Linked DNA regions of Styela clava. Each later gene encodes a partner of the first gene's protein in a complex. Links are inferred from orthologs where the notes say so. Each region holds a gene or a part of one and is shown on either strand. Other genes may lie near its edges. The genes, in order: nucleoporin p58/p45-like and nuclear pore complex protein Nup54-like.

The links.
Region 2: the proteins of nucleoporin p58/p45-like (region 1) and nuclear pore complex protein Nup54-like are in contact, whole or in part, in a crystal structure (PDB 4JO7), measured with the Homo sapiens proteins. The link is inferred for Styela clava from reciprocal best matches to the Homo sapiens genes NUP58 and NUP54. Residues at the interface, in NP_054808.1 of Homo sapiens: Pro342, Tyr345, Phe346, Leu349, Val350, Phe353, Gln356, Leu357, Tyr360, Gln363, Ile364, Leu367, Leu371, Gln374, Ser378, Ile392, Tyr393, Phe396, Leu399, Ala400, Leu403, Ile406, His407, Val410, Lys414, Tyr417, Tyr420, Arg421; in NP_059122.2 of Homo sapiens: Tyr453, Leu459, Glu462, His466, Leu467, Gln469, Gln470, Gln471, Gly473, Leu474, His476, Leu477, Ile478, Ile480, Ile481, Asp484, Leu485, Ile488, Lys489, Leu490, Val491.

What each region holds. Positions count from the first base shown.
Region 1 is NC_135262.1:10,607,608-10,624,695, forward strand, and holds nucleoporin p58/p45-like, read left to right. Parts: upstream 1-7,987; 5' UTR 7,988-8,052; coding exon 8,053-8,105; intron 8,106-8,433; coding exon 8,434-8,642; intron 8,643-9,171; coding exon 9,172-9,210; intron 9,211-9,751; coding exon 9,752-10,013; intron 10,014-10,527; coding exon 10,528-10,659; intron 10,660-11,360; coding exon 11,361-11,483; intron 11,484-12,058; coding exon 12,059-12,177; intron 12,178-12,916; coding exon 12,917-12,999; intron 13,000-13,503; coding exon 13,504-13,594; intron 13,595-14,025; coding exon 14,026-14,169; intron 14,170-14,256; coding exon 14,257-14,391; intron 14,392-14,589; coding exon 14,590-14,744; 3' UTR 14,745-15,012; downstream 15,013-17,088. Other genes in the region: transmembrane protein 8B-like, read left to right, coding at 3,543-5,426; ubiquitin-like protein 3, read right to left, coding at 16,771-16,832. UniProt on the Homo sapiens protein: Component of the nuclear pore complex, a complex required for the trafficking across the nuclear membrane.
Region 2 is NC_135262.1:8,081,070-8,097,301, forward strand, and holds the start of nuclear pore complex protein Nup54-like, read left to right. Parts: upstream 1-9,771; 5' UTR 9,772-9,835; intron 9,836-10,021; exon of another isoform or gene 10,022-10,158; intron 10,159-10,481; 5' UTR 10,482-10,629; coding exon 10,630-10,699; intron 10,700-11,336; coding exon 11,337-11,405; intron 11,406-12,351; coding exon 12,352-12,408; intron 12,409-12,618; coding exon 12,619-12,672; intron 12,673-13,555; coding exon 13,556-13,836; intron 13,837-14,461; coding exon 14,462-14,652; intron 14,653-14,831; coding exon 14,832-15,034; intron 15,035-15,731; coding exon 15,732-15,880; intron 15,881-16,017; coding exon 16,018-16,125; intron 16,126-16,232. Other genes in the region: lipid scramblase CLPTM1L-like, read left to right, coding at 486-696, 1,053-1,135, 1,588-1,622, 1,798-1,898, 2,015-2,130, 2,532-2,604; F-box and leucine-rich repeat protein 13-like, read right to left, coding at 4,079-4,223, 4,623-4,775, 5,283-5,366, 5,950-6,102, 6,703-6,885, 7,604-7,768, 8,143-8,663. UniProt on the Homo sapiens protein: Component of the nuclear pore complex, a complex required for the trafficking across the nuclear membrane.

The DNA.
Region 1 (17,088 bases):
TTGTCTGTATTTGAGTCAAACTGTACTAACATTAAAAACACATTTTGCGTTATTTAGGATTGGGTCGCGAGTATTCATAAAACTCAGATTTGGGTCGCGCTCGGAAAAGTTTAAGAACCACTGCTCTAAGGTGTGCGCGTGTGCTCGCGCAGTAAAACGATCGAAAAAGAGGATTTTAGGTTGATAAACTTTGCAAGTCTAGAAATAAATGTTATACTCATAACAGTATTAAAAAAAAATTTTTAATTTGATTGGATGAAGATATCAATAAATTTGATAGTAAGTGCACAGAACAAGCATTGGAATGGCAATTTAGCAGCACTTCAAGCACGACATTATAAAATTGATTGATTACACAGTACTACATGAAAATATATGTGAATAGCTTATGGAGTTCCATCATGTGTGGACAGAACAAGTATATTCTGCCATGGCGGAGTTTAGAGTGCCGATATTAATGCTTCTTTCGATATTCAGTTACATGCTATTGGTTCATCTTTTTTCAATTTTTTTTGCAAATTTCTGGTGACGCCGAGGGCCGGACCATTTAAGAACTTATTAGGCTTTAAGTTGAGCTAACAAGTGCTCATTTGTAAGCTGTTTGCTGCATTTTGTCTTCCACGGCGTCATGATAACATTCTCACAGTAATAGGCTACGTGTTGCTGGGAGAAAAAACCATTTCTTGTGTATAATTTTTTTTCAAATTTGTGTAATGTCCATATACATAGCTCCTGTAACAATATGCTCATACTTTCGATTGCTCGTAATTTTGTTCTAATTTGATATTTTCCGGGAGATATTCGACAGGGTGCTGCTTTACTAAATATTTCTTCTCGAAAGACACTTTTCGATGAATATTTTCGAACCGTCATTGATCCACATTGATTTCGTAATTGATGGGAGTGTTTCTCAATATTGTTGCCTGTTTTGACACATTACGATAACTACATCCTGATTGTGTTTATAATGTATTTCAGACACCACTCAATGTCGAGCTATTCATAATCAACCTTGCTTTTTACTGGTAGAAATTTCAACTTTTTTAATCACAACAAGGCACCAATAAAAAATATCACATTATTAAAATCTTGTCAGAAGCATAGTCATTCCAGTGTGACGTAAACATGGTAATTCAAACTTCAAAAACACCGATAGGTTCGTTACAATGAGAAAAAGCATTATAAAATAATGGGATAGATCACTTACGTAGGCTTGCCATATGTCTGAAGCAAAAAACAGGGACAGTGTGGATTAGACAAGACTTAGTTATAGTTTAAACGTTTTACATACCATTGTGGATAGATTACGGGCACAAAAGTAAGCTATATTTGTGACCCATAGTGCATAACCGGGAGATTTAGGTCTACCAACTAAACCAACTTGCTGAAATCGGGACTCTCCCAACTAAACCGAGACCTATGGTAAGTCTACTCTTATGGAGCACGTAAATTGGCTCCGCGGACCGGACAGTGACCCACAAGCCGTATGTTATACCCCTCTGGTGATGTAGATCAGGGGTCGGCAACCTACGGCCCGCGGAGTAAAATAATCCGGCCCACGACGCTTCACTGAATTATAGTAACGAACCGACTGTTTTACCGCATATATTCTTTACGTAACATCATTTATTGGGATACACGTATAGACTAACTTATAATATAGCCCAACAAGTATATAATTCACAATTAGCTTATAATTTAATGGACCTTTCCCCGACTTTTGACCCCCGGGAAATTCTTCCATATTTCACTATTGTAAAATTTTCGGTGCTTATTTCAATAATGGATTGGCGAGTTGGAAATTACCGGTGAAGAACTTTAGCCTAGTCTATCACAGCTAGATTTGACAAACCATTCGAAAAAATTACACGAATGAACATTACAAAGAACAAGCTGAGAACTCGAATTGGTGATTCCCATTTTAGAAAATGTTTAAATCTTGGCTCCATCCAGTGTCCCGTGCCGCCTGATATCGAAATCATATCAAGCGTGCTGCAACAAAAAGTGTCGCATCAAATGTCATTTGTAATTTTTTTTTTCTTGTTCATGTAAGACGACTAAGTTGAGTTCACAAATTGTCGCAGTCTTCGCGTGCTGCTTAATAAACATCTTATATGTGTGAAAAATTGTTGATTCATCGGCCATCCGTTCGGTTTTTAACTTTCATAAAATATGTGCGGCCCGCCAAGTCCTGCAACTCATAATTTTGACCCGCGAGCGACAAAAGGTTGTGTGATGTAGATTGTTATCCCTCTTCACCACTTTTTGACATTTCCATTAGAGACCGACCAAGTGCAAAATACGAAAATAGCGCTGCCTGTAGCGTGCTATTCACAGAGGTGACTTCGAGCGTTGGCGCCTACAAACTGGTTTAATTTATCAAACCTTCATTTTTTATCTCTTGTATTGCCATGGCGCATTTATTCAGGCAATGTTTAGACTGTGAAGCAAATATTTTATTGTTCAGTAAATACGTAAAACTTCAGCGATTGGGTCAGGTGAGGGCGATTTGTCAGGGTTCGTAATGCAGTAATGTCTGAATGTCATGTGACAATTAAATTTATTTGTTTTGATCTATGAATTTGAACTCAATGCAGACTACGACTACGTTGTATTATTTTACGAAGCACGTCCGATTACCAGTCCATTTTGGATATGGTATTTTATATTTAATTTTGTCCTACTTCTGGACTTGACTTGAGTGATTGTGCATTATATTTCATATTGAAATGTGTACCAATGGCAGAATATCTATCTAAAAATATTTTACACTAAATTTACTTATAGGTATTTGTTTCTTATGTCAGTATGCTGGGCAGTGCTATAGTGATAAGGTAATATGTAATATAACATTTATAAGGGTCTTTTGTAGTTTCGTACCTAACATAGTCTACTTCTAGTGGGCGTAGCATGACGGGCGTAGCATGACATATTTTTCACGTATCAATTCTAACCCCCACCTGACTACACCATCCAAAAATTACGGCTTTACGACGCCACAGTGACGTAATAGAGCTCTTCAAACTATACAAACTGCCATCCAAGACGCGCAAACGAGCACCCGAAATCGAACAGATATTTTCTCGTCGCAACGATTCCAATAGGAGAGAGATTGATAATGTGAGTCAGTTCTTTATCGACGGCGCCAATCCCATTTCGGGTGATCCTACGTGTATTTAGCAAGCTTTATGACTTGATTGTGATGTCATAGTGATGTAATTTTTGGATGCCGTAGTCAGATGGGGCTTAGGATTGACATATTGAAAATTAATAATGCTAAGCCCACTAAGAGTACGTTTGGTACGAAACTACACAAGACCCCATTTATAGTTGGCACTTTGGTATGCCGTCTCACTCAACATTATCTCAATTGCATGAAGAGATTCTCGTAGTATTCGGTTTCTAATCCTAAGTAACATCACATAGATCTCACAACCATTGCTGCCTTAAGATCGCATACCAAATTAGCACACCAACACTCTTTCTTTTCTGCCTTTCATAAATTTTAAAATATTTTTTTCTACAGGTATCTGATAACAGTTATGTTATTAAACATTGTATTCTTGGTACTAATTAATGGAATACATTGTGTTATCAGCAAAAACATTACAAGTCAAACTGTTCTGAAATTTGGGCCGTTAGCGCTTTCTGAATACTCTGACGTTGGTAGTCAAGAAGTAATATATGCACCTATTCCTGCTTCGTACCTTCCTAATTTTTCATTTGAATGGACGGGCGGAATTGAGAACACTGGTTCTGGTTCACCTGAATCATGCCCCCATGTAAAAATCATGGTTTTGGTGCGAAAGTGGGGTTTACCGGTCCCCAACCCCACGGGTGCTACATACCCAGATAACACATGGCTGAATTTGAACGAAACAGCTATTGGGGGGTTTCGTATAACCCAATCCCTTCCAAACCGACACGACGAATACATCATGATTTTCTCTGATGAAGGGAATACAACAGGAGAATTTTACATTTCTGTTTTTATCGAAAAACCTGTTCAAAGCAGAATTGAAATACCGAATGAATGCGAATACATAGTTCAACTCATCATCAAAGCATATAGCGATCTTCCATTGGATATAGCCGTCATGACAAGTGAGAATTATTTTGATACACTGGATACAAATCAATATGAAAATAATATATTCTTAGATCGGTACAGAAACGGCCTACTGAGTACAGATTACATTACGTCAAAAGAAGGGTACAATATAAGTACAAATAAATCGTTAAAATTCAGCTGGATCGTACAACCTTATTCTGATGTTGGTGGTACTTTAAGAATAAAACTTAGTTTTAACTCATCTTTATTATCAAAAAACGATACAATTTTGTTACGTGGATGTGCGACATGGAACAGCGATACACCATTCACTTACGATACATGTGAAAACGGGCACAGTTTAATTGTAAATTCATCACAAGATGCTTATGATATATGGTACTGGCCGTTTCCAAAAGGTGGTCTGTGGGCTCTAGATGTTGGAATTGAATGCATCGAAGGAGATTGTGATAATACTGATATCAATATAAATCTCGATACAAATATCGTTCAGTGCATTGATTCATGTCATTCTGGTACATCTCAAGGTGAATGCAAAATTTACCGCACTGATATCTTATTTTTCTCGGCTTGTGATTGTAGAGGAGGTTGGCAAGGCATTGCTTGCACTGATGGTACAAATGCAGTACCTCGAAGCAAACAACTACTTGTTGTACTCCTGCTAACTCTAAGTAATATAATATTTTTTCCTTGTGGCGTACTGGCAATTATGAAAGGATTTTACTCAGAGTCGATAGTTTACTTTTTTGTTATGTTTTTTTCAACATTCTATCATGCTTGTGACAATGATTTTGCAGCTTCTGTATGTATCATGCCCTATAATACTTTACAGTTTTCCGATTTTTTGGGATCTATTTCAGCGATGTGGGTAACTTTGATTGCGATGTGCCGCCTTCCTTTTATCCTTGAATCATGTTTTCATATTGCGGGGTTGATGGCAATTAGCGTTGGTGTTACAGATAACAGATTCAGTGTTTTTACTACGTTAGTTCCAGTGCTGTGTGGACTGTTTATCCTTGCAATTAGGTGGGGAAGGCAATGTAAGGCTTCACATACTTGCTATCCAGCAAAACGTGTCTGGTTGTTTTCATTCATACCAGGAGCATTATGTGCCATTTTAGGTTTTGTATTATTTGTATTTGTTGAGGATCCAGATAATTATTTTTATGTACACAGCATGTGGCATGTTTTAATGGGATCAGCAGTTTTATTTTTGATCCCAAAAGAAAAGAAATTTTCTTCCCAAGTTGACGTTGAATCGGAGGATGGCAGCATATCTGGTACTCATTATAATAATGTAAATGCCACAGATTCAACCACTTTTCATCTAGAATTATCTGATGATTCTTCATAGTGGGAAACATTGTTTTATATGCACATTAGGCAGATAGATTAAGTACAGACCTCAAGATTCTTAATTTTGTTATAAACATGTCACAAGCAGGGATATTCATACAGAATGTTCCAAAACTCTGCACTGAACTTCATTTTTATAATACCAGCATGATGGTGTTGCAGCTGAAGTATTAGACTTATGTGTTGGCATTGTAGATTACACATCTTGTGTTCAAACCCTGTGTACCCCACTTCACCCAATGTGGTAAATTGGATAAGTCATTCAAAATAATAGTAGCTCGTTAAGTCGTTAGATATTGAGGGCTTGCTTGTATAAGATAGTATAATTCTGCATATTTGACAAAATCATCTCTGTAAATGATCATCAATTTATATTCTAATTTTTCACTATGGTATTTTAAATAGCCTAAACATTGGTCCTTATAAACTTTTACTGCTAGTATTTTTCTTCATCAAATTTTTTTTTAAATAACAGTTATAGAATGTAAAAAACATTTCAATGAGTGGTTTTAAATAAGCTTTGTATAGTGAACCTCAATAATATGTTTCACTTGATATAGTGATTAAATTCTCAGGGATAATTTTGTTACTGTTATATTAATAATAGACATTTGTTTGTCTCAGATTTAGAATTCCAGCTATTTTTCATTCTTATTTATTCTCAATTTATCTGGTCTATCTTTTGTAATAGTTGAAATATTGAATTGGCAACAATACATTGGTTCAGCATTTATATAGGATAAAAAAACGTATCCCGCCTCAAGTTATTTACCTTCTTGAAAGTTTTCTTCAATTTGAGTTTTTTTTTCATATAATTATTTTTTTCATAATTTTTCACGTTTTCTGACTGAAACGGCATTTTTTTCATGTCTTTCTCTCTCTCTCTGCTGATGAGACCCAAATCTTGCATATTTTGCATAGAAATTTTTTTCAATTCTCCATTTGTTAGCAATGAATATTTTTCTAAAACCCATTTTCAGATTATCATGCTTCATTTACTATAAAAATTTATACATGGTACGCTACTCCTTTCAAAAACCCTGTTAAAAAAGATGTTTTTATGCCAATTATGCGGTATTTTAATCGGTATATGTGACCTTAGGTTAATTTTTTTTTTCATTGCTCCATTATTCAGTAATCAGTGCTTTCATTTTTATGGTACAATTCCAGTCATATTGTAAATAAACGATTATGGGAAGCTACAGAAAGTTCCTGTCCTGTGCCCAGTATTATCTAACTTATATGGAAGCTTTATACCAATTTATATTAAAGTTTCATGAATGTTCTTTATTGCATATTTTTGTGTTTTGTAAATATTTTTCAGTTTGAAGCATTTTTAGATCAGATTGAATTACTGCATATCCTCGCATATAAGCCGACCCCCTGAAAACGACCTTAAAACAACGAATTCTTAAAAATTCCCATAAAAGCTAAACCTACAAATCGTGAGAACTTAGCATGGTTCGAGTTGTAGCTGTTGGAATTAAGTTAGCACAATTTCACTCGTTTGAATGCAATCAGAGTTATGCACGTTTAAGTCGACCCCTTGCTTTGGCAACTCTTCCTTGAGTTTTACACTCTGCTAATATGCGATGATATACTGTAAGAGATGTGCTGTATTTTTTATGATTCAATAGTGTGCCGTGTTCATAAAATCTAGCTTAGTTTGATTTAGAAAGTTATTCTATGTGTTAGTTGTTTTAAGTCTATATTAAGTTTGGTATTATAAAAACTCTGATGATTAAAACTCTGACTGTTTCTCTGCCTTTGTGTTAGGAGTAATAGGAATTATGCAAGGATGTTATTGAAAAATTCAAAACTGCTTTTTTGTATCGTTCAAACGGTATTGTCACAGTTTCACAAATTTTATTTTGTAACTTTTGTGAAAAAGAAATTTACTTGAATTTCATATGAAATTGGTCTTATATAATGAAAATGTTCCATTTTCTTAAAGGTAAATATGAATAATAAATATCTTCCATATATATACTCCAATTTCTAATGTATTATTAACAAAACATTAGCATTTTATTTCTGTATGGTACAGGTTGGCCTTTCAAAAAAGCAGAACTTGGGTCATTTGAAAATATTCTAGAGACAAAATAACTTCACATGTGCAAAGCGTCCTAGATTTCATTAAACATTTTGGATACATTCCATACACAAACAACAAGTGTTGATCGAATTTTTTCATTTTCATTGGAGTAATTAAGAAACATATGGCTTCTGTTTTTTGGGTTTGCTGTACGTTATTTAATAGACACATTCAAGATTTTTCCAGTTTTCTAATTTCTGTACAATATTCTAGTCTACTGGGCAACAAATATGTTCTGAATGTTTCAGTTCAGTTAAATAAAATTTTCCAGTTTGGTACTGTTTACTTTTCGATTTCTCATATCTGCCGTTATGTTATGTTTGATTTCGTTCTTATTGTGTTTACTCTATCTGTATTTGTACAACTTTAATTGTAAAATTCAATTGTGGTTTCCTGGTTGTTCTGTTTATTTTGCACTGTTTAACTCTTCTAATTATTTCTTCTTTTTGTTAATCATGATATCACCTTTTTTCAGATTTTGCGATTTTAGAATTAGTCAATTTTTTTTGGTAAAAGAGTGAAATCTGAAATGGCTTTCAGTTTTGGTAATACGGGTGCTTCGAAACCTGGATTTTCATTTGGGTAAGTTGATGCCTGAAACTAAATCGCAAAAATTTTTTTTCCGCTCTGTAAGTTGGGTACAGAATGAATACGCTAAATATTCCATTGTTCTGACAATATCAAGTTGAAACAGGATGGAAATTTCATATTTCTCCCCGGGGAGAGGAAATTCGATAATATGGCTTCATAATAATATGGAAATACAAGCTCCCCCGTCTAGTAACCAGTTTATGTCGGTAATGGGAATAGTTGATATTTAAAAGAAATCTTAATTTCACATATATCAACATTTGCCATGGCGAGCTTCTTACTTTGAATCAGATATAATTTATCTTATATTTTTAATCAGATCGTCAACGGCAACAACGAAAGCAACTGGTACAGTTCAGCCTTTTGGTTTTGGGAATGCTACAACTTCATCTGCTCCGAGTGCGAGCACCGGTTTCAGTTTTGGAAATACATCGTCACAACCTGCCAAAGCAACATCAAGCTCGCTCTTTGGTGCCTCCGCTAACACAACTACTTCAACTGGGCTGGGTGGGTCAGGATTCGGCGGAGGTATATTACCTATCATTTGCTTGTTCCATGAAAGTTAAAAAAAAACGTCTTCAGTAATTGAATAGTTTGTTGGTAAATACAATAAACTTGGAAAGTATTATTTTTCAATGTGCTTATCCAGTCATGATGACTGAAAGAATCATTTGAATAATATTAAGTTCATTAATAAAATGATTTTAGCATGGTTAACATCATCTTCATTTTTTTGATGTGTGTGTTGATGGACCAAAACTATGATTTGATAACAACCTTTGTATGTACCACAGTTATCAATATTCTATTGCCCGAAATGATAAATTTGTGCAAAATGTTGATCCATTCGAAAAATAGTTTAAATTTTTTTGAGGATACTAACAATTGAAATTCATCACGATTTTGGTTCAAGTTGTATCTATTTATATAAAGTTATAGTTGAATTGGAAAACTGAATTAAAGACAATGACATTCAATTTGGGACATTTTATACAAACTAGCCACAAAGCACAATCTGTTCGAAGTTTGAAAACAAGAATCCTAATTTACATTTCAGGATTTAAGCTTGGTGGATCTACAGCAACAACAGCATCAGGTACTTAACATAGTAAAATTATAATTCCTATTTAAAGCATGTTGTTTATGTTGATTGCCATTCATTAGAACAAATTTATACACTTTTTATACTGTATCTCTTGTATCATATTTTGACAAAATTTTGAAATATATGATAAATTTGCCATAAAAGAATTTTTTATCAGAATTGTTTGGATAAGGGATCAATAGTTAAAATTTTTATCTGAGTTTCATTCTTTATTTGGTAATGATTATAACAGCAAGAGGGTGTTCATAGAGTTCAGTTTACAATTTCAATTCTGTTATGGAGTCGTTTTTCAATATATCTTAACCAGGTTGTTTATTTCAATCATTATTTATTTATTTGAGTTTTAACTTCAATACACTCGTTGGGGCCAACAAACTATATATGGTATCGATAAATTCTCTTCGGAATTCGAAAATTAATTAAAACTTTATAAACACTTTATATATCTTGTTCTTTCGATCTTGCGTATTTCTTAAATTTAACGTTATCCTTTTATGGCATTATCACTATATATAGTTATTAATAAAATCAGGTTTCTTATTTGGCGGCAACACCGGATTATCTCTTGGGAATACCGGTGGCAGTTTAACGGCCACATCAACCACAGGATCGGCTTTTGGCACAAGCGCAGCAACTACATCGGCACCTGCTTTCAGAGGACTCGGAGGTGTCTCGTCGACCGCCAGCACAAGTAATCAAAGCGACGGTAATGGCAACAAAAATAACGGCGTAGGACAAGCGTTGAAGGAACAGCAAGTCCCAGATGAATTGTGCAAGGATGTTAAAGATTTTGAGTTAGTATGACCGTTTAGAATAACCGTTTTTAATTAAAATGTGTTCAAACAGACTTGAAATTAATTAGCCTAATAAAGAAAGCTAAATAAAAGAGTATTTAAGTAATGCTGACAATTTTAATTACAATATAGTATACATGCGGATGTGGTTTAGGTCAACTTTCTAAGGCAAATGTTGCTTGGAAACAATCTTAAAATTGAGTATTTTTAAACTGGGCCTTGGGCCCCTATTCAGAAGGCTGTTCAAACAGTACTGTAGGTGCCACAAGCAAAAGCTTCCACTGGCTGTCACTCATAATGAATTAGTTAATTTAAAGTAATTTGACTGTAATACATTTACCTATACTTCATCTTCTTATCTATTTGCTTTTTTATTAAACGTGGCGCATCAATTATCAATTACCGGTACCTCTGCTTCAAATAATTGACGTAATATTCCCACTTGTTACTGGGATAATTTTCTCAAAATTGGTTTGGTTTTCATACGTTCATTATTTTTATCTTACTCATTCAGGAATTTTGTGAAGAAGCAAAAAGAAGGAAGTAACACCATCGGTAAATTTTCAATTCGATCACTTCGTAAAATACAAGAAGAAGTTTCGTCACTTTCTTATGCTCTCGGCAGTGTTTCATCAGCCTTACATAGGTAGGTTCACCATTCGTTTTTAAATATGCACCGTAGAACTGAGTAATAATAATTTATTTATATATATATAGATATTCAAATTCTGTTTGACATTTTTTAAATTTTGTACTTGAGTTAATTGATATTTCGTTCGCTGAGGTAGGAATGAAATAGCCTACGATTGATCATATAGCCTAGGCTCTATTGAAAAAAAGGTTGTATCTTGGGTCTGTCTGATGTAAAATAGGAAAAAAGTATTGTTGCCTTCAGTTCAGCGGTTTCCAACCGGGGACACCCCAAGGGGACCACACAACAGTTGGAGGGGGGGGGGCGACAATGCTACGCGCAAAAATCGACAATTACTCGTTTTTGTAGTTTCATTGCTTGCTAAGGTTATTTCACAGGGTGTTTTCACTTCAATGAGCATAAATTGTTTGAACATAGTGGAATTTGGATTCTACCTCTGGAATGATAAATGGGGGACATAAGCGGTGAAAGCCCTTGTAAGGGGGCCACAAGCCATTGAAGGTTGGGAACCGCTGCTTTAGTCCATTCATAACCATGAATAACATGGTTGTTCTTAGTTTTACTTAGTCCTTCGCACCTCATTTAACTGGTATAATAGGTTAATTGTTCATCTCTAAGATTGTTGTCTGAAGTGAGGATTTAAACATTCTACCAAAATATTGTGAGTTAGTCACTGTGTATTGCTTTATTACTAGGAACAACGCTGCAGTTCAAAAGTTACGTTCTGATTTTACTGAAGAATTACGATACATTGAAATAGCGAAACATACTCAAGATATTCCACCTTCATTACAACACGATAATATTGCTCCTATCAAGTGAGTAAATGAAATATTTTGATATCAAAAATATGGAAAAATCACAATTTATACACAGAGTTAGGCAACCTATTAAGTGGGCGAATAGGGCCGCTTTAATAGAGGAATATAACAACACAATCATATTTTTGATTTTCTTTCATTGCTGTATCAGTTCAATATATGGGAATATTTCCGAAATTTTGCAATATCAATATTTGGATTGTAGCTGTTTTCCTGGTGAACTGCTTTAAGTTCTTGCACCAACCGATAATTACTGTTACGTAATTCGCGCTATATTGATTTATAGTCTCAGTAGCACTCTCACTTCGCGCAGAGATTGATCACCTATATTTTCGAGTAAGTGTGCCTGACTTTCGAGCGAATTTCCCAGTGAAAAATTGTTGATTTTATTACAATTGTAAAAAGTTGTGAAATAATGAATCCGTTTTAGACAACAGCAGACAACATACAAAGTAACAACAAAGTTTATTGGCATTTTGCTTATAATTTATACATCCGAAAATATTCGTACCAAGATGACGCACAACCTGAACAACCCTAAACTGGTACACATACCATACTATTTATTTCAGGTTTTTTATGAACATGTTATCAGAATTTGAATCAAGTATACAAATATATAGAAAACAAATTGAAGAATTAGAAAATCATCTTAGCTTAACCGATCAGTCTATCAATTTAACACCACAAGGTATGTTTCACCTTCATATTGGTTACTTTGCTGATGTATTATTTATATTATAAAAATCAGGACATCGTATAGTTTTGGTTGTTAATAAACTCGTATTACTTTTCATCAAAATACTTCAAGTTGTGATCAGATACTATCTTAAAGAGCTATTTCTTATTTATTTATTTTTCAAATTGAAGTATTTGCCCTTTTGTCGAGCCTGAGTATTACTCACTTTTCATGTAATGCATTTTTAAAATAATCTGATTGATTTTTGTGATCATGCCATGTCTCTTAAATTGCAGGATGGAAGTGTCAGATTCTTTATAGCCAGTTAATCAATTTAATAAGCCTATTAAGGATCTCTCCAATCGTATAGCTGTGTCAATTTATCACATTTTGGTCATTTCAAACCTTCGTAGTTGTGTGTGTACAAAATGTATTTGTTTTCACTGTATCACATTGCTTGTTCTGAAATGTGACGTCCCTGACGTGACTAGTAGTGTCGGCTTCCAAATATCAACTTGGTTTGCAATGCGCTCATGACACATGATGCGAATGTCGTATTCAATTCAATATACTTAGTTGACGTCTCGAAAGATTAGTTGCGGGTCATTGTTTTCTGTTGGTCAAGAATGGAATGTCCTACATAGCTACTTCTGCATTTTGTACAAATAATTCTTACCTTTATTACGATGATAATATTTTATAGCACTTTCAATATGATTTTGGTTTCAATTTATCTTTTTTATGTTTTTAGATATTTATGTGGCTTTATGCAAGATGCAGGAATCTTTTATCGCACTTGCGGCTAATCTACATTCTATACATGATCAAGTCAAGGTATGAATTGCTATTTATATTACTAATGCATTACAGTCGGAATTTGATTTAAAATTTTTTATTACTTACTTCCATCATTTGATCATTTAAACAAGAAAGCAATGCTAAAAAATCAGGGTATTTGGGTTATGATACAATGAATCTAGCTGGCATGAGTCTTTTTGTACATGAAGTTGACCTTTGGAGCGTTTTGTTATTACATTGTCATTGATCTTGTTAGGATTTCTTCTTCATGTTCATTTTGGTTGGTTGAAGATTGTTCGCTAGAAGGCTTTAACTTTTAGTTGCCCTATTGGATTCGTTATTTGTGTGTGATAATTAAAAATTGCGCATCTTGTGGTCAGCTGGAGACGTGAAGACTGCGCAGTGTCAGATCACATAACCATACGTCCATACTACTTCGTTGAATTGATCTAGCTAAAATGTGTCAAAACAAATTGCACAATGTTGCTATGTAGTTGCAAATGTGCCAGTAATAAATCCGTTAATATCAATATTTTTAAGATTCTTAAAGAACAATATCTGGTTTATCGAAGAATTGTACATAATGATACTTTCGACATTTTTGCTGCAAATAAACAGAAGCTTACGCAAGGTAAATCTTGATGATGTTTCTTCATTTGTCTGACATGGTAATAAAATAGGCCAAATTATAAAAAATCGAACTCTCATGCACCTGCCCATTTATTTGGGTAAACCAGTGCTTTAGTTTAAGATACATTGCCATGTTATATACCTGAAATGATATACTTTTCCGATTTGGTGGTATCCTAATTAATAAGCTATGTGATCAGAGGCTTCGAAAGACGGGAAAATAAGGGATTATGAGTCTATCCTAGGTTCATTTAACATTTTAATATAGTGAAGTTCTCGCTGCAATTCTTAATGTACTATATTAATTCTGTACATCATGTTGTAAAATTTTGTATAAAGTGTCAAACAAAATTGAATGAAAACTCTATGAGAATACATTCAACAATGACATATTTGAGAGAAAAATATCTAGTTGATGCATTTTCTACACAGAAAAATCTCAAAAGACTTCCGGCTTATCTCCGTTCAACCAACTCAGTAATGTTGCTGCTTTAGCTATGGCATCAATGGTTAATCAGCAAAGTCAACAGCAACAGGGACCACCTCAACAAGGTCTTTTGTCCACACAACCAGCTGGTAGGTGATGATAGGGAATGGCAGTATCATTGCAAAAGGGCATGTGTAACACTTGTTTTAAATTATGTCATCCCTATTTCGTATCAGGTGGTACAGGACTATTTGGCGGAGCAAACAAACCTATTGGCACTGCAAGTTTATTTGGTGGTGGATCTACAACCACTGGATCAAAGTTCGGAGGTTTTAGTGGGTTTGGTTCAACTACTAAACCCCTCAGTGCAGGTACAAATTTCTCACAAGAATACCTTTGAAGGTTTCTCTGGATTGTTTTGCTAAATTGTAGGGTTGACGGTTTCTGTTATTTGGATAAATGGCATTTTTGCGCGAGGTGGTACTTTTAGTTTCCTCAGGATCCAATAATTGAAGCGGAAGGAACACTTGTATATTAATTCCGCTGATCATTTTGGCAACTGTTTTTAGGGTTTGGCACATCTGCTACACAATCCACTGGCTTGTTCGGCAACACTTCATCACTCAACACGAGTGCTGGACTCACTTTTGGTGGTTCTGCTGCCACTGGTAGTACATTTGAATTGAAACGTCCTCCTCTGGGCAATAAACGTGGGAAGAAATGACTAGGACGCACCGCTTCTAGTTGATGATGTAGACAAGACACGCCCTCATCGACTGGAGCGGTAGATGATAGCAACTTACATTTATTTGAAGCACTGAGAAGAATGTCATCGGACTAATGGTTGACAGTGAAGCTGTTTCGAAAGCAGATTTAATGTGTCTATAGATGATAGATAGATCTTGGTGCTACTGTTTTTCTCGTATTTGTAATGTCTTTTCATGGTTACTAGGCAATCAATGCATTTTGCAGATTCGCGTGTAAACAAAGAACAACAACATTCATGGGCTAATGACTGAACCCTGTGGTATGAAAAAAAACTTTGTTTGCAGAAGTATATTGTTGGTGTGAGAAAAAAATCGGCTTTATTGCAAAATAATATACACGCTACAGTAAAGACTATAAATAAGATTATATAGAAGAGCAGAATAGGAGTTTGTAAGTAAATTATCTGGACTGGTTCCATATTTGGGATTTATTACAGTGGTACAGGGGGCTTGCATGCAAGCAAGATATAAGTTAATCCGAGCCAATAATGAAAATCAGTACCGGTACTAGATTATTTAAATTGGAGTATCTTGACGCTTGTATCCAGTGAGACAAAGAATGAATTTGTGTCTAACAAAATTATAAAAATCTATGCATATACTATTTCGATGAAAACAGAATGTTGCTACACACTAGAAACTAAAATCACGCTGTTATATTATTCCATCTGTAAGCGCTTGACAGGTGAACTAACATCTCCAACCTGATTTGAGAAACCTTAATATTATTCTAATGTATTATATTTGAACATCACAGTTATAATATAAATTGATGGAAATGTATATATATAATCAAACAAGAATACGATGACCCCCAATATGTAGAAACTAATGGGCTTCACAAAATATTTTTGCAAAATAATTCGCAGCGCCATCAACCACATTGTACAGAAATGATATGTAGTAGTAGTATGCAAAAGGATTGCCGGGCTTGACCAGCCAATATGTACAAGATTTTGATGACAAGGGTACTCACTGAAACATTGGGTAATTTGAATATTGTGCCACTGACTTTGGTTCACAAATCAGTTCTCAAGAAAACTAATTATCGATCTACTAAATCCAATACCCAACCAATTAATAATATCAGTTGTCACTCAATTGAAGACATTTTTGATCAGAAAATGCATTTAAAGAGAAAAGAAAACACAGACAAAAAAAAAATATATATACAGTAAATTTTAACTTATGGCCACTATTGTAAGAAAAAGTTGATTTTTTTAATAGTCACTGCATTTTGTTGGAAACTAGTCTCGCTGTATAATACTCCTTGAGCAAAGACCGCTCACCGCACAATACAAACAATGAATGGAAAGATATACTGTTTCAGGGATGTCCAACAATTTTTCAAACTCACATTTTTATCATGACGATTGTTATCAATATCAGCATCTTACTTTGCGAAGTATAAAGGTGCCTTTTTTCAGCTAAGCACAAAACTTTATATCATCATCACCTTATCTTAGATGGAAAATGGTATAGATAACCTATGTCAAACCAGAAAGTGTTTCTACTCAGTTATTTAGCTGCAATTACACAAAATCGTTGCCCAGTAAATTGGAATGAAATTTTACAGAAACTGGATAATTTGGACATACCATAAGTCAGCTGACAGACTTCAACAGTTCACTATAATAAGACACAAACATATATATATATAAGTAATGAAAATAAGGAAAGGAAAATGAATTCAAGAAGGAAGGGCACCACGTATAATAAAGCAGATACACAACTTTAAACTATGGAGTTTCTATGTTTGCCAATCTCATAACTTATAGCAGAGAGGAGATATAAAGCTGTTTTCTCCAGCTTTTATATTCATTTTGTACAGTATGAATTTTTATTTTAGAATTCCGGTCGGTGAAGCATGGGCATACAAAATATGAAAGTCTTGTAGGTCTTTGGCCCGTGTTTGATCATGTTAGTCTCTTTTTACAGATTTTGCATGAAAGAGAATGTCAGTCAAAAATTAATTAATCTTGCTCATTGAATTGTACAACAATTAGTGCATCTGCCTTCGTTTGACTTTTCCCGATTTCGTTCCCCTATGAATTTAAAAGAAGTATTATACAATGTTAGAATCTAACCATTCAAGCAAATATTAATTGGCGATGCATACAATTGAGGGGGTGATAGTCCCGTCACCAGTAAATAACATTTCGTTTCTTCATATAATTATAGTACTGTACAAGGTAGCCATTTAATAATTTCTAAATTTTGTTATGAAGTCAGTTTTCAATATAATCTTAACCAGGTTTGTTTTATTTTAAACAGTGTTAATATGAGTTTTATATCTCATTT
Region 2 (16,232 bases), about 2.5 Mb from region 1:
AATTAGATTAAAATTTAAAAACAGTTTGAATCCCCGTAGTTATTATGGATTGAATATTACGCTACAAGAAAACGTAATTTGAGATTCCGATGTTGATGCGATTTTACTACTCCGACTTATTACTTACTCCGAGGTTATATTATCGGGTAGACTTATTTGCCGGGAAATACGGTATTTATATGTGCAATACATATTGCCAGTTAATAATATTTCTATATGATACCCTTCAATACTATTTTGTTTGTGTTTGCCCAAAATTTCTTTTATGTGTGACATGTATTCTTAAAATTTATCCTGGCCATCAAATTTTGAATAACATTTTTGTATAGATACAAAACAAGTAAATCAAATGATCTGGTTGGTGTTTTTTGTTTCATTAAACGACTTCCAAGAAATGAAGATTTAGTACAGTGCTTCCCAAAATGAAGAGATAAATTGGCTTTTGTAAGCAGTGTACTTTTTTATTATTATTATTTTCCTATTAGGTGTGTGAGCACCTTCATTATATTTCTATATCTGATGGATGAACAAACTAGCTATATTGTCTTAGTACCTGCTGGCATAGGATCTATTATTGAAATATGGAAAGTAACGAAGGCATTAAAAGTTAAAATCATTAAAAATGGTTGGAAGTTTTCAGTGCAATTTGGCACACTTTCTGGAAAGGAGAAAACTACTGATAACTATGATCACCAGGCAAGTTTGATTTTTTTTAGTAAAACCTAGGATATATCTATATCTTATTTATGTAATTTCTAATTGTTGCAAATCTCAGAATGTGAAAAAAGGATGAAAAACTGAACTTTGCTGGGTTTTTTCATACTATCATAGAGATCCAGTATACAGCTATTTCATCAATGCAATTTAGCTTAACGTTGTATGGCATGAACTGCATATTATTATGACTAATATAATATCACCAGAAAAAAAAAAAATATATATATATATATAACTACATTTAGGCCAAGATAAAAAGTGGATTAACTTTAATTTTGTTGTTGAAAGTATACATGATAAGTTTGTTTTAAAATTCTAATATCTGTTTTATACAGGCAATCAAATATCTATCCTATATTCTTTATCCATTGAGTGTGTTTGGAGCAATTTACTCGCTCTTCTATGTCCCTCAGAAAGGGTGAGTAGAATGGTAGTTAACTTATAAGTAAACATTATTGAAAATATTCCCCCTCTCACAATATCATAAACAATGGGTCCCTAGGGGAGATTTTAGGGCACTCCCGTTACCCTAGTATATGTACTAGATTAGGGTTAGGCAATCATTTTATTCCGATTTTCCGCTTTCTAGTGTAACTGGAACTATTTTAGTTCTATTACGAGTGTAGCCGATCGAATAAACCCTTATAGGTTTCAGTCTCTTTATACAACTTGATGAGAAGTAGGCGAACAAAATTAGTTACCTCCATATTGGTACATACACTTCTGAAGTGCCGATTTTAATACATTGAAGTTACAGTATCACACTTTCTGAATATTGTCATAGGGACATACATATTTTCTATATGATTTCAGTACTTTGCGAAATATTTGTTACTTCCTCATATCTAATGCATTATATTCTAATTTCAGATGGTACTCTTGGGTGATCAATAGTTTAGTTAATGGTGAGTATATTCTCATTGCCTTGGAAATATATTAATTTTTATTAAATTATATAAGTTGGTAATAGGCAACCCGTAAATATGAATTAATATTTCAATTTTCTGAGTCTTCTCGAGATTTTTTTGTTATTGTTGATACTATGTATGTAAACTCAAACTTACATCTTTTTTTATACAGGTGTATATGCATTTGGATTTCTATTCATGTTGCCACAACTTTTTATCAATTATAAATTAAAATCGGTAGCACATTTACCATGGAAGGCATTTACATATAAGGTATGATACTTTGGTTTTTCCTTAGGATTGACTACGCCTATTAATAATACAGTTTCATTTATTTAAAATTCACAAAATATTTGATTTTACTCTTGCTGTAATTGTTCTTATTTTAGGCATTCAACACCTTTATTGATGATGTTTTTGCATTCATTATTAAAATGCCGACTAGTCATAGAATTGCTTGTTTTCGTGATGATGTCGTTTTCTTCTGTTACTTGTATCAAAGATGGTAAGTTGGTATTTCATTTTTTTTAATCAATTTTTTGTGATACAGTCTACTTTTATCATGAATTTTAATCATTTATTTTGTACAAATAAATGTTCGTATTTTTAAACCAAAAGTAAAATGATATTGATGAAAGAGTTGCGCTTGTGGAATTTATTTCTCTGACTTGTGTCCTACCAAATTGTCCACCAAAGAAATCTATTTACAACTGTTAACTTGTCAGTAGTTGTAGTCATTTCCATTTTCTGAGAATTGTCTTTGAATTAAAGTGAGGATTTGCTTTGAGCAAACTTGTTAATATTTTGGGATTTCATATCTGTTTTGCGCCCAAATGGAAATAGTTTGATCATGCTTATATTTAGTTAACAGAAACGATTATTTGTTATTTCTTTATGTATTATTAGGTTATATCCTGTGGATAAAAAAAGAGCGAATGAATATGGCATATCTTATGAAGAAGACAAAAAAGAAAAATAGTTTCCACTGTTCCGATGAAGCTTTTCCTAATAGTTTTATACATCAACAGTGTTTGAAGCTGCTTATTTATATTATTTTGTTCCATTTGGTCTAGGAAATGACTTGAAGCGTGTACTCGTGTTTGGTTACTGAATTAAATTTTAATGGGGGAACTCGGATATTTGTATTGAACTGCAGGTCCTTTCTACTTGATTACCTTCTCTTCCGGATCCGTATGTGGTACTCACCACAAGGATGCTTGAACAAGATAGTAAATTTTTAGTATTTAGAACTTCTTTTTCGAATACCTCATCAGCTCTTGTTGATTTCAATATATGGACTTGTTTCTGTCCCAATACTTATTGCATAAATTATTTTGACACATTTACTGCTCTGTCTAACCAAATAAATTCAGATTAAAGAAAAGCATACGATTGATTCGTTTTTGAAATTTGTAGCCTTAACCTACCTTATGAATGAAAAAATTATCAATCAATGAACAAATTAAAGGGCTTGGCTTTGAATCCCATGTTCATAATTATTAAGTGCCATCGATTTAATGGACTATGTGGTTCACATAAGCTGGTTGATTATTGTCCATTGCATCAGAGGCTAAATGGTTCCATTCCATGAATAGGTACAAACATGCTCATCTCCATGTCTTGCACCACAACACCAAAGTCCTGTGTACTGAAATTTTTTCTCTCTTTGCAGAGTTTGTTACAGGCAGAAATTTTACTTTCGTGAATTAACCAAAGTTTTGGCAATAATGGTGCAATACTCTTATATCAGCTTTTTTATATTCATGCCCTTGGTATTATCATAGTGTTCTACTTGGTGTCCGAAACAGTGCAATAAGGCCTGGTCACATAAGTTTCTTTGTTAGATGCTGCGGTTGGTTTGCAAATTGTAGGATTTGAGTTGTTGGGCTGGAGACACAAATATATTGTAACCGGACGCGCCATACATACACACAGTAGATTCGTTATTCACTGTGCTACACTGCCGTTAGTTATACTTGCTGTGGAATTTTACTGGACTGTGACTTGTAATACTGTGTCGAGGGTTAGCTACGGAAGTAGATTGACAACACCGCCCAATAAGCAGAAATAAGACCTGTTGAACCTCGAACTCTACAGAGTTATCTAATAATCTCAATACACCGAACAAGATTTCAACTCACTCGCTATGAAAGTATATGAACCTGGCAGAGCATTTATTAGTATTCAGCTGGACCTACCCACACTGGCACAATGACAAACACACCTCATTGACTAAAGTTTGATTGAAAGTGGACACCAGCGTATAAATTTTATTCCTTCACAGTGGGAAAGTATTGAAACATAGCAATTTAGATACTGAAGAGCATGGTAAAAGAAGATTTCCATGAAAGGCAGGAATACATGAAAGATATCAACCCAAATCAATACATAATGTGCATGCCTGAGTGTGAAACTGGAATTCTCAACATTGAAAAATGACCGGTTTGATTGAATCAGAAGATGACCTTTGCCCCCCTCTCTCCTGGACAAACCCATTCAATAAACTCTTCCTCCATGCTAGATGAAATAGGTTCTGGTGAAACACTTGGTACGAGCACTCGATCGTGATAATAGGTATATACTTCAAGATTCCGTTTCCTAAAATCAGAGAATTATTCATTTGTATTTTACAGTTGACATCTTCTCTGGTGATTCAAAAAGACTTCTCTCTCATAATAGTTTAATGAATGTCTTGCAACCCAACCCAGTCACCCCATCTACGTGGCAATAAAGTGGGTAGACTCCAGCCATCCCCAGAACTGTAGCTCCTTACATATAATTGGGAACGGCTCATGGAAATATCAATAGACATGTTTGCCTTTCAAAGAAATCTTATGACACATAGCAATTCTCAAGTACACTGAGTTTGCTGAAAAGACAAGCATGATAGAATAATAAGTTCATCCCTTTAATTCAAAACAGCAAAATTATGGGAAGCATATACAAAACACAGAGTTAACAATTTTATACATGACCAACATAGCTTACTGTACCAACCTGCAAACCAAGTCGACCAAGCAGTCATCAGGCATATTGTTACAATCAGTCAAATCTAAAAATTCCAGTCTAGGTAATGTTTTATCCAAATCATTCAACCATTTATCTCCTTCAATACCGAATAAACCAATTAGCGACATCCGTTTCAGTTTTCTGAACAGAGAAGAATATAGATATAGTGTATAATGCCAAAATTCTCATTTAAATGCAACTATAGATGTGGAAATTGGTTTCAATCAGTGTTGAGTAGAGGTTGCAAAAGTGCGACAAGTCGAGTCATTGATCATCCAAGTCTCGAATCGAGTAAATGACTCAAGTCTCCTCAACTTCTCCCAATAAATAGAAAATAAACTCCTTGGGAGTCATAGTAGATTTTATAAACAACAATGGGTTAGGTATCTATGAGTGAGGTGATCAAATCAAGTATTTGAAAAGAGGGCTTAAGCCTGGCCCTTGACACACCCCAAAACACTGATGCAGCCAACTTCAATTATTCGCACAACTATATCATTAAATAAGAGATGACTTGAAAATAAGTTAGAAATTCCATTTTATATAGTACTATGTGATATAAGGGCTTTAAGAGATAATGATAGCAATTTGATGTTCAAGATAAATATGAACAAATTTAGTTTATATTTCATTCGCAACCTATCATACTTGCAGTTATCAACGACTCCACACATTCCTTTATCAGTGATCTTCCAGCACCAATCTATAGTGAGAAGTTCGAGTTGTGGGCAGCTTAAAACAGGAAATTTTATTTATAACATTAGCGGCTGAATTAGGTTACTCAACATTCATTTATAGCAGCAACATCTTGTGTTAACTCCTATCCTGGCTTATATAGCTGCCATTTGTTGTTTTATGCGAGCTTGACCACAATGGCAGGTAACAATAGTTTTACTAGGCTATTTTGTTTCCCTCTTATTGAGGTTATCTGGAAAGCCCAGATCTAACTATATTTATAAGAGTATACCATATCAGAAAATGTTATCCTAGAATATACTATGTTGGCTCAATCATATGGTGAACCACCACCGGTTACCAGTCCGTGCCAGTTACTTGCTCCAGATGCATGGACTTGATGGAGTAAGCCTGGACCGACCAGTGGTTACCGTAACCAGCCTGTGATGGCAAGGAGTCCAGTGATACTCTCTTACATAATTATCCCTCACAGGATAAGATCTGAGTGTGAAACAGCAAAATGTAATCAGAGGTGTAATAACAAGCGTGTTCTTAACACATAGCACTATGTGCCAACTGCCGATGGTTCAAGATTCCAGTTAATAAAAAAAAAAGGCAGATAATTAATTATCAACAATACCTGTATGACATAGAAATAAGTGCATCATCATCCATGTATTCACATTCTGTTATTGTAAAACTTTTAATATTAAATATAGAAGACGAATGAAATAATTTGCATATTGATGCTCCGGTGAGGTTTGAAGCTTTCCTGAATTTCAAACTTTCAAGTCTATAAAAATAAGAAGTAAAATTATTTTAATGCATATTTATAAAAAAGGGGGTTCTTAATTTAATCAAACCAAAAGATTTAAATGATGAAAAAGAATATTCAAACATTCAAACATAATATGGTTTTTTTTCCTGTTCCTTTTATATTTGATTGTTTCTAGAATCAGTTGCCGAACTATGAACTCTTCAGTCTTCACTGTCACTAAATACAGCTTTGCTGTGTTTATTTTACAGATATTAAACAAACTGTGTTTTTCGCAAGTTTCAAAACTTGTCTATCCAAAAAAATAAACACTTCAGGTCTTCATGTGGATTGACTTAAACTGCTTCAAATCTTGCATCAATCAAAGTTTGCTAGCATCTGATGCATAGCATATATTCAGTAGCTCTCAGTTTAACTTAAAGTTGCCCACAACTTTGCTTAGATATGACTCATATAAAAGTAATAAAACTCCTTTACTTCTGGGTGGGTGTGTCTCTACTTTGAGCAAATTATTTATAAATAAGTTTCATAAAACAAGGTAATAAGAGCAATTGTTTGCACTTTAAACCAATTTCATGTATAACATCCCTCCCTTATTATTTTCACTAGAAAACTTACTTATATCTTCCTTGAAACGAATAAACACTGATATCGGAGAGTGATTGACAAAAAGAAAGCTCAAAAACAATTAATCCTGGTAAATGTGATGTTGCAAATAAAACAAGGTCATCTGTCATTTCTTCACCATCTAGAATTAACTTTTCCATTGAAGGTTGATGACGTATGAAATTGACCAAACCACTGTAGATTGAAAATTCAAGAGATCAGACAGACAGTAACTAAAAGTATCATGTGCAAGTGATATGTACAGGAATACATACCAAAGATATTTTCAAATATAAGAATCAAGAATATTTTTTAGTTCTATGGTCTAACAGCCACGGTGCAAGCCCACCACTCACCCAGAGTATAATAAATTGGGTATTTGTTAATAACTTCTACAAAAATGAAAAAATTTATTAGATTTTGTTTTGCTTCAACTTCTGTTTGTGCATGATTGTACCCGAAATTTCCTGATCTCGAAACTCAAGGCATGAAAGATACAATTGCAAGCGTTGCGCAAAATCGTCACAAATCACAAACACACATCACTATGGGGATTTTTCTGATTTTTGTTGCAATTGCAGTTTTAAGTTCACCAATTGATTGGGGAATGTTCTGATACACCCCATCCTTCGAATACCCCCACAGATAAAAAATATGATGTGTTCAAGTCCAATGAGGTGAGGGATTGACTGAGTTGGGGATTGCCAATTTGAGTCTGCGAATACAAGTCTGTCTCCTATGCTTATTAAGAGGTGAATTGGAACATTTTCTAGAGAGAACATAACTTATGTGTAAAACGTCCTAGATTCCTGGAATTTTTGGGTACAATGATGCACAAACAGAAGTCCAATTAGAAAGTAAATCACCCTTATTTTGGGTCACCCTGTAGAAGCGAACTCAAAGTTTTACTAACCTTTCAGTAGTTCGCATTACTCCGTCGCAACTAAGTTCTTTAAGATTAGGAAGATGATATAAATATAATAAGAATTTGTTCGTCAATAAGACACAGTATGATACACACAATTTTTTCAGCTTAGAAAGCAGAAATATTTCAGAAAAATCATCATCTGCGATGCAACTAAAATGAAACAGAAAACGAAAATAGGTATGAAAAAAGTATATTATCCAGCTATGGTGTTTAATCTTCTTACAATTGGAAGAGATCACCAACTCGGACAAAGTAAAACAGACAATTGGCTAGAAAAATCAGAGGCAAGTGACTAGAAAAATCATTTGAAAATAATGCATTTTTTAGAAGTTTTTCCCACGCCTATTCTATGATGCATTGTCGCTTGGTGGCATCACGCTTTTTTACACAAGCTGTCTGGACATTCCACTTGTACTATTCAACAACAATACCATAAACAAGCATCACTTGGCCATATGCCAAATAAAGAAAATCAATATGAAACCAGGGTATGTTAGAATCGGCAGTCTAAAAATAAATCCTACCTGCAACCTTCCAAGCAAAGAGATTGAAGATTTGTGCAATGTTTACAAATAGTTGATAAATCCACATCATCACAGAATCCAATATCTAATTCCTGCAAGTTTGTGCACATGCACAAATACTGTAAAGTTGTGTCTTGTAGCCCACAATCATTAAAAAATCTGCTCATCTTTATCGAGTATACAAATGAGTGGAATATCCTTAATATTGTTTCAAAATCAGAATTAGACACATTCGAAGGTGCCATATCACCGTGTTTTTCAATCATAACTTGAATATCCTTATGCATTTTATGAAAATCAATGTCCCTCCATAGTGAAGTGTCACGACATAAATTATTCCATCTTTTGCAAACTTTGCATACATTAAAATACAGTTCCGCTTGTGGTAAATATTTTAATATATTTAACCATATTTCTTGAGGTAATGATAACCAGTCAACATTCTCCACAAAAGGTTGTTCAGCACATCTGCTGTCGATCAACGAGACAATCTCTGATGACAAATTACAATCATCCCCCATTTTCAAATTTTCTATTTTTGTCCATTGGTTATCAAAACAGATAAAGACTATCAGATTCTGTGATAAGATACAGAAGAAGAAGTTTTTGGAAAGTAATATACAAATTAGCGATTTAACATGTCTGCATGTGCTTATCAGGTAGCAAAAATTGTTGAGCCAGGCCAACTAGAAGTACGTACGGCAGTTAGTGAACATGCGCCAAATAAAATAGTATAATATTCATCAAAACAATAAACCCTGAATGATCTGCTGGGGCATGTTCACAACACGACGTAAGTACTACAGCACCGGTATTAGGGGTCTTCTGAAGTACACGCCGCAAGTACTTTTTGGGTGACGTACTCAGGTGGGGTTAGGACTATTGGGTCTGGTATAGTTTAGTACCACATGCACTTCTAGTTGGCCTGACTCAACCATTTTTGCATATGCCAATCTTAACCCCCACCTGACTACGTCACCGAAAAATTACGTCATTTCGACGTCACATTGGCGTAATAACCCCACCACAAAGTGTGCAGATGGTCGCCCAAACGCGCAGACGATCACCCGAGATCGAGCAATCAATTTCTCCCGTTTTCTCGTCACAACAATCACGATAGGAGAGAGATCGCCAGCTTTAGCAAGTTTGTTATCGGCGGCGCGGATGCCATTTGCCCATTTCGGGCGATCGTAATTATACTTTGGCAATCCCTATGACGTGATGGTGACGTCACAGTGACTTCATTTTTGGATGACATAGTCAGGTGGGGGTTATGAATAGCATATGCAAAATTCGTTATGCTACGCCCACCGGAAGTACTTGTGGTACTATACTAGACCCGATTATTCATGCAGCAAACTTTCCTATGTTCGCCCATTGCAGTATTGGCTATATTACTAAGAAATGTATAAGATGAAATGATAAACGTTTCAACAGTACAGCAGTAAAACACATAATACTGTAATAATATTGGCGCAATAAGACTAGGAAACCACCCACCATCCATATTATTCAGTTATTGATAAATCAACCATTTTCACCAACCTAAACAAACCTGCAAACACCAGACCACTGGCGGGATTGTAGAGTGCAGAGCAGATCAAGTCCAAAGTGACTATAAGTCGTGTTGTGCAGGGAAGCCATGATTGATGATTTGAGTGGGATTTTCCGCGATGGAGAAAAGGATTTATGTGTGAGTGAGGAGTTGGTTTTGACTCGATTAATGACTCAATTAGATTTATTTTATGTGATAAGGTTTTTGTTGATTGAAACGATTTAAGTTCATTATTCTTTCATTCAATAAACTATCTATCTATCTATCTATCAATATGCGTCGCCCGAGAGCTGCACGATAGCCATTTTTCACGTAAACCCTTCCTATTGCCATTTGTTTGTCTTTTATTATATCGAGTTCAAAAGCAAAACCTGGGGCCGTGAATCAGAAGTTTAGGTTGTGCACGTTTAGGAGCCTGTGAGTGAATAGGCAATGGTGATGGTATCCTAGCTTCAGCTATGGTAGGTAATTATCTCTACCCAAATAGGCCTATATTGCGTCTGTTTAGACAAAATCCTAATTAAGCTCAGATACCGTAATTACCGGAATCATTTTAAGGTTAATTTCAATTATAATTTTATTAGGTCCAAGCCCAATTGTCTGATATTACTACAGAAAGTCAGCATGTTGGTTTATGTCAATTATCAGATTATTGACACAAACCATGTCCGCATGTTGTATAACTTGTATTCATAACTCAGTAATTGCAGTATTGTGACTGATGTTTGCCTTCTAATTCTGCCTGAAGTTGTTTCATACACTGATGCTGATGTTCTTTCCGCAGCTTTATTTTGAATAATCCATGTTGTGAACCCATCACAAAAAAGTGGGGAGCATTTCGCTTTTACCTTGATCATAACGCATAAGCCTACTACTGTACTACAGCCTGACAGCGGTGGTAAACTACAGTCAGACAGTTGTGTGATCTTAAGATGGCGTTTAGTTTTGGCAATAAAACTGCTGGAACTGGATCATTGTTCGGGCAAAGCGGCACAACTTCAGGTAATTTTATGATTCATATTACGGTGCTATAATAAACTAAATACAGAAATATGTTTTGATAAAGAAAGCAGTACAGTCGGTTTAGTAGGCCCACATACAGACATATGCCATACGTATTTGCCATTGAAATTTAGAACTTCATGTAACCTCAAGGCTGCAATTTGCGAACAAAATTGAAATTTATTCACTAATTAGTGCAGTGATGACAATTCTACATGTTTGTATTAAATACCCGACTGTTAGTACTGTGATTTGCGATTTTTTGTGTTGTGTTATTTGTTAAAGTTAAAACAGTTCAAAAATTGGCATTCGTTTGGTGGATGAGCTGAGTTTCTTGTGATTTTTGACTTTATTACCCTTCTGGCAGTATGGTTACCTACTCCAGTACTCTACTTATTTGTTTGCTTAATTTTACTTTTTCAATTTCCATGTTTCATTTTAAAGTAGTCAAAAAAAATCAATGAAAAAAGAATGTTTTGTTTAGCTAAATAGTAAGATGTTGCTTTTGAACCACATAAAACCTGCTGTTACTTGGGATTTAAACATTTACTATTCCAGGACTAAAAACTGTGTTTTAATCACGCTTCCTTTATCTTGCATTTCTTCAGGTCTGATGGTATATTTTTTTATTTTACAGCTTTTGGGGCTAAACCTGCCACAACTGCTTCTGCTTTTACATTCGGAGCAGGATCTTCTTCAGTCACAGGTGAGAAAAATTGAATGGTTGAATCTTAGTGTACTTGTTTGTACTTTTAAACATTATATTATGAGTTTTATTTTTTTGCTATGAATGTGGTGATGTAAAACAGGGGTGTGCAAAGTGAGGCCCGCAAAGGAAAATTTTGCTGTCGAATTTATTATCTATGCCTATGACGTTGCAACGTCCTGACAGCAAGGCAAACAACTTGATTCGCAAAGCTGTCCCCTGCTGAGCAGCGAACAATTTAAGAAAAATATGGAGCAGACGCTAATGAACTTGTAAGAACAGGCAATTGAAGTTTAGGCAACTGGCAAGCAGTTTAGCAAGAATTTATATTATAGATATACAAGAGCTAAATGAGTTCTGGTTTCAATGTATCAATTGATTTTGTCTAAATCTAATCTAGAATAACGAAAACACCAAGATAACTTTCTACATTTAAAAAAAGTCGTGGCTTCAACTTTGGCAATATCATGCGTTTCAAACCATCATTTCGGCAAGGAACCTCTAATGATGGCATGAGATCAATAGCAAAAAGACACTATTTTGTGCCTGCAACTAATAGAAAGCCTACGTTAAATGGTGGTGTGGCTCGCGGCTCCACCCAAATTGAATTGAAATTATTGAAATTTGGCCCGCCTGAGAAAAAAGTTGCACACCCCTGATGTAAAAGATTGAAGTTTTTTTATTCTTGATTTCATTTCATATTTTATATTCAATGCTTGGATCAAATTATTTATTAAAAATATAAATTATTTTGTCAATATGAATTAAAAAATTTTTTTTTATCTCAGTAAAGTTAATGCAATTAAAATGTTGTTATTTTCAAAATTTTATGTATTATTATCAAGTGATTAAAAATAAAATGAATTTCAACTTTTGCCAAGCCTATGTTGGTAACCGTCTTAATGCCCAATATAAGGTATTCATATTTTTGCAATTTTGTTCAAAGGTTTTGGAGCCAAGACTACCGCTAGTATATTTGGGGGAGGAAATACTGGTACTTCAGGTTAGTGTGTATGTGAAGTTAGTATATAAGTATATAATGCATGGCAATGACATAGGACAATCGAAACTTGACATCGTGGGACTGCACACAATGATAGCGCATGAAAATAAGAATATAAAATAGATGTAGTCTTCATTAACTTCCCATGTTTGATGTGAGTTATAATTGGATAGTTTTCTTCACCTAACGTTATCTTTTTATTACATCTAGCATTCAGTGGATTTGGAAAGACGACAACAACTGCTTCTACAGGATTTTCAACAGGTATTCAAACCTGATCAGAGAGTGTTTTTTCCACTCATTCATATTCATGTGTTACCGCAATGCTCTTATTCTGGAAGCCCGATTAGAGAGTATAATATCATCATGTTTTTTTTCACATGTAGCCTATCTATGTCACAAATGATTCCCTTTAAAAATTTGTCATCCTGACCTGATCATCTGTCATATGTAAATATAGTCGACATCCTCTATTTGCAAAGATGTGAATAATTCAGTTTTTTTCAGCCCTGAAGTTAAGTTTTGTTGTGGTGAACCAATGATTCTTTTCGATAAATGTTATTTAGATCAGGGTGGTCCAAGGTCGTGGGCTCCGCGGGCCACAAAAATATTTTGGCATTGGTCGCGGGCCACAATAGTATCAAGAATAGGTAAATAGTGCAGTACAAAACAAGCACTTCTATTGTGTAAACACATAGTTATCAGGCATTGCCAACCAAAGCTAATGAAATCCGCATTCGATTTTTAGTTTTCTATTATGCCTATATTGTTAGCAAATATCCCCAACCAAAACGATAGAAATCTAGGTAACAATTTAAACTGACCATCACATCATTCAACTTTGCTAGTTGCTTCAGCTAGCCATCATACTAGTCAATTCAGTCACAGTGGTAATATAACAACAATATGTCAAACGATTTTTCTGATTTATTTTATAAGAAGCAATTTAAAATACAATATTTTGATTACTCTTCGAATGCGGCGCGGGCCACAGATAATGAAGCGGCGGGCCAAATGTGGCCCGCGGGCCTGGGTTTGGACCACCCTGATTTTAGATTCCTTTTACTTTGACTGTTAGACATACACTTTTGTTTGAGCTGCTAGTATTTTTTCAATTATTTTTAATGAGTATTTATTTGAATTTTAGGATTCACTTCAACTTTAGGAGGAGGTGGATTATTTGGAGGAAATCAACAACAACAACAGCAGCAACAACAACAAGTTCAAAACAGTCAGGATCCCGGAACTACACTTCTTTTAAATACAGCTTCAGCGCTGTCTGCTCCTATCGTGTTTGGTGATGAGAGAGATGCGATTCTCGCTAAATGGAATCAGATTCAAGCATTCTGGGGAACTGGTAGAGGTTTTTATCGAAAAGATGGATCACATGTGACTTTTACTCCAGAGAATCATTTCTGTCGCTTCAAGGTAGAACATTTAATAGCTGAATGAAATTCGTCCTTAAGATTTTGTATCACGATTTGAACATTTTCTTACTTATGACGAATTTCTTGTTTTTGGCCAATGGCCATTTCCGTAATGTTAACCGGTTCTTAGTTGAAGATGGTATAAGATTGTGATATTTTTCAATAACATGTAATTGCTTTTAGATTGACCAATTAACATCTTTTTTATATGGCGTATTTAAAAGTTTTTCACTCTGAACAAGGCACTGTATAAGCATCCACTGCTAGTGCTAAGCAAAGTGCTAATATACAATGAAAAGACCAATATCTTCCCCGTTTGGCATTGCCTCCTCAATTTAGTACCCTGGGTTGGTTGTGTTCATGGGATTTTTAACCTGTGAGACTGTGATATAGTTGATGCAGACGTTTTAACCACTAACCATCGGGATAAATATCGAAATCAAAATTATCATGTTGAGATCTACATGCTTTTCAACTGCTTATTTCGATGGATCCTTCATTTGGACCAATCAACAAGATATTTATTTAATCATTATGTCATTCCTGTTTGTTAAATTCTAGTAAACAACTGATGTTTTTTGAATTTCTACAAATCTTAATTAGAGTTGAATTATATTTTCTCTCAGGCAGTGGGATATAGCTGTCTTCCAAAAACGAAAGATGATGAAGGACTGCTTGCAATCGTGGTGAATAAAAAAGAATCCGAAATTACTTCAGTCGGAAATGATAAAATATCAAGCGTTATTCATGGGATATTAGAATCAAAACCCAATTTGTCAGTCAAAGTGGATTCCGTCAGATCGCTACCAGGAGACAGGTATGTATGATACGTTTTTCAAAAATGGATCAGCATTTATATTTCTCACATTATAGATATAAGCCTTTGCAAATAATTACAGCAATTGGATGTGATTGGTTGTTTATAAAATCTGTAAGTTTTTTTTCCCATTTTACTTATTTATCTATCTATCTTTGCAAACAAATGTCTCTATACAGAACAGAGATAACAGTCTATGTAGAGGAGCAGTCGGCTGCCACTGGCACAATTAAAAGAGTACCAGCATCAGAACTCCACGCATTCGTCAGCCAACGTCGTATACAACAGCAACTGCAACAAAATATGGCTGCAGTATCATGCATGCCCAGAGCGGCTATGAGACCTGAACAGATTAAACAGATTTTGGAAAATCCTCCATCTGGTAGATAATTTTAATTTAGCTTTATTTGTGTTTTTTCATATCTTGCTATTTCCATATTGTTGTTTGATTTAGAAGTATTGGGATTTGGGTAGGTTTTTATATTTATTCCATAAGTTTGAGTTAAATTGATAGCATGTATGTTGGCATATCATGCCTGTTGACATAGCTCCTTTAAAGACATTTTGTTTGAATCAAGATTTCTATGGGGACAATTATGTTCTGTCAATTCACGGCTGTACTATTTACAAGCGACTCCGGTGTAAGAAAAATTTTGAATCATAGGAAAGCAAGTTTTGATAACGAAAACTTTGGTGTATGCGAGCTTTCGTCGATAAACTGTTAACTCATTGTTTTTGAGGAAAGTTTTGACTACCGGTACTTTAACCTCTAGTCAAAGTTGTTGATTGGAAATTCTAATTTTTACTCTGGGGAGTTATAAATGTAACTCTTTTGATCGACTAGTTGTGACATTATCTAAACCACAGAGTTCGTGCATCTGTATCGATTGACAGAATAACTATTCCCATATCCAACCTGAAATAATCAGAGGGGATTCTGCGATTCACCGTCCTATAGCAATTGATTATTGGTTTAAATTCAATGAACTTTATCACACAGCTACGTCCCCCTCTCCAACTGAACTATAACAATAGTTTGTGCCTTATTTTAAAATTTCTCAATACTTTACTTATTTCAGGAATCGATGCTGTAATATGGGAGCAAGCTAAAGCAGATAATCCAGATCCAACATCCTTAATTCCAGTTCCAATGATTGGATTCAGTGAATTACAGAATCGTCTCATGCATCAAGAAATGATGGCCAAACAACATCAATCACGTTTAGATGTAAACCCCTTTTATTTTCCATTAATCTGATAATAATTTCTATTGCATAAGTTTTTCTATATTTAGAGAAATCACAAATCATTTGTTTTTATTATTGCTGGTAATGAAGTACAAACTTGAACCTTTTTTGTTCTCAGATATTAAGCAACAAATTACATGATCTTCAACAAATGCAAGTAAACGCACAATCAATGATTGAACAAAATAAAAGACAATATTTACAACTATCACACAGAGTTCTGAAGGTTAGTCTTTTTATTCTCAACTAATGGATTGTTGTACCAACTAGTTGGGGTTGTTGCAATAGAATGGCATTGGTATGAGCATAAAAGTCCGTGGAATGCCAAAAGCT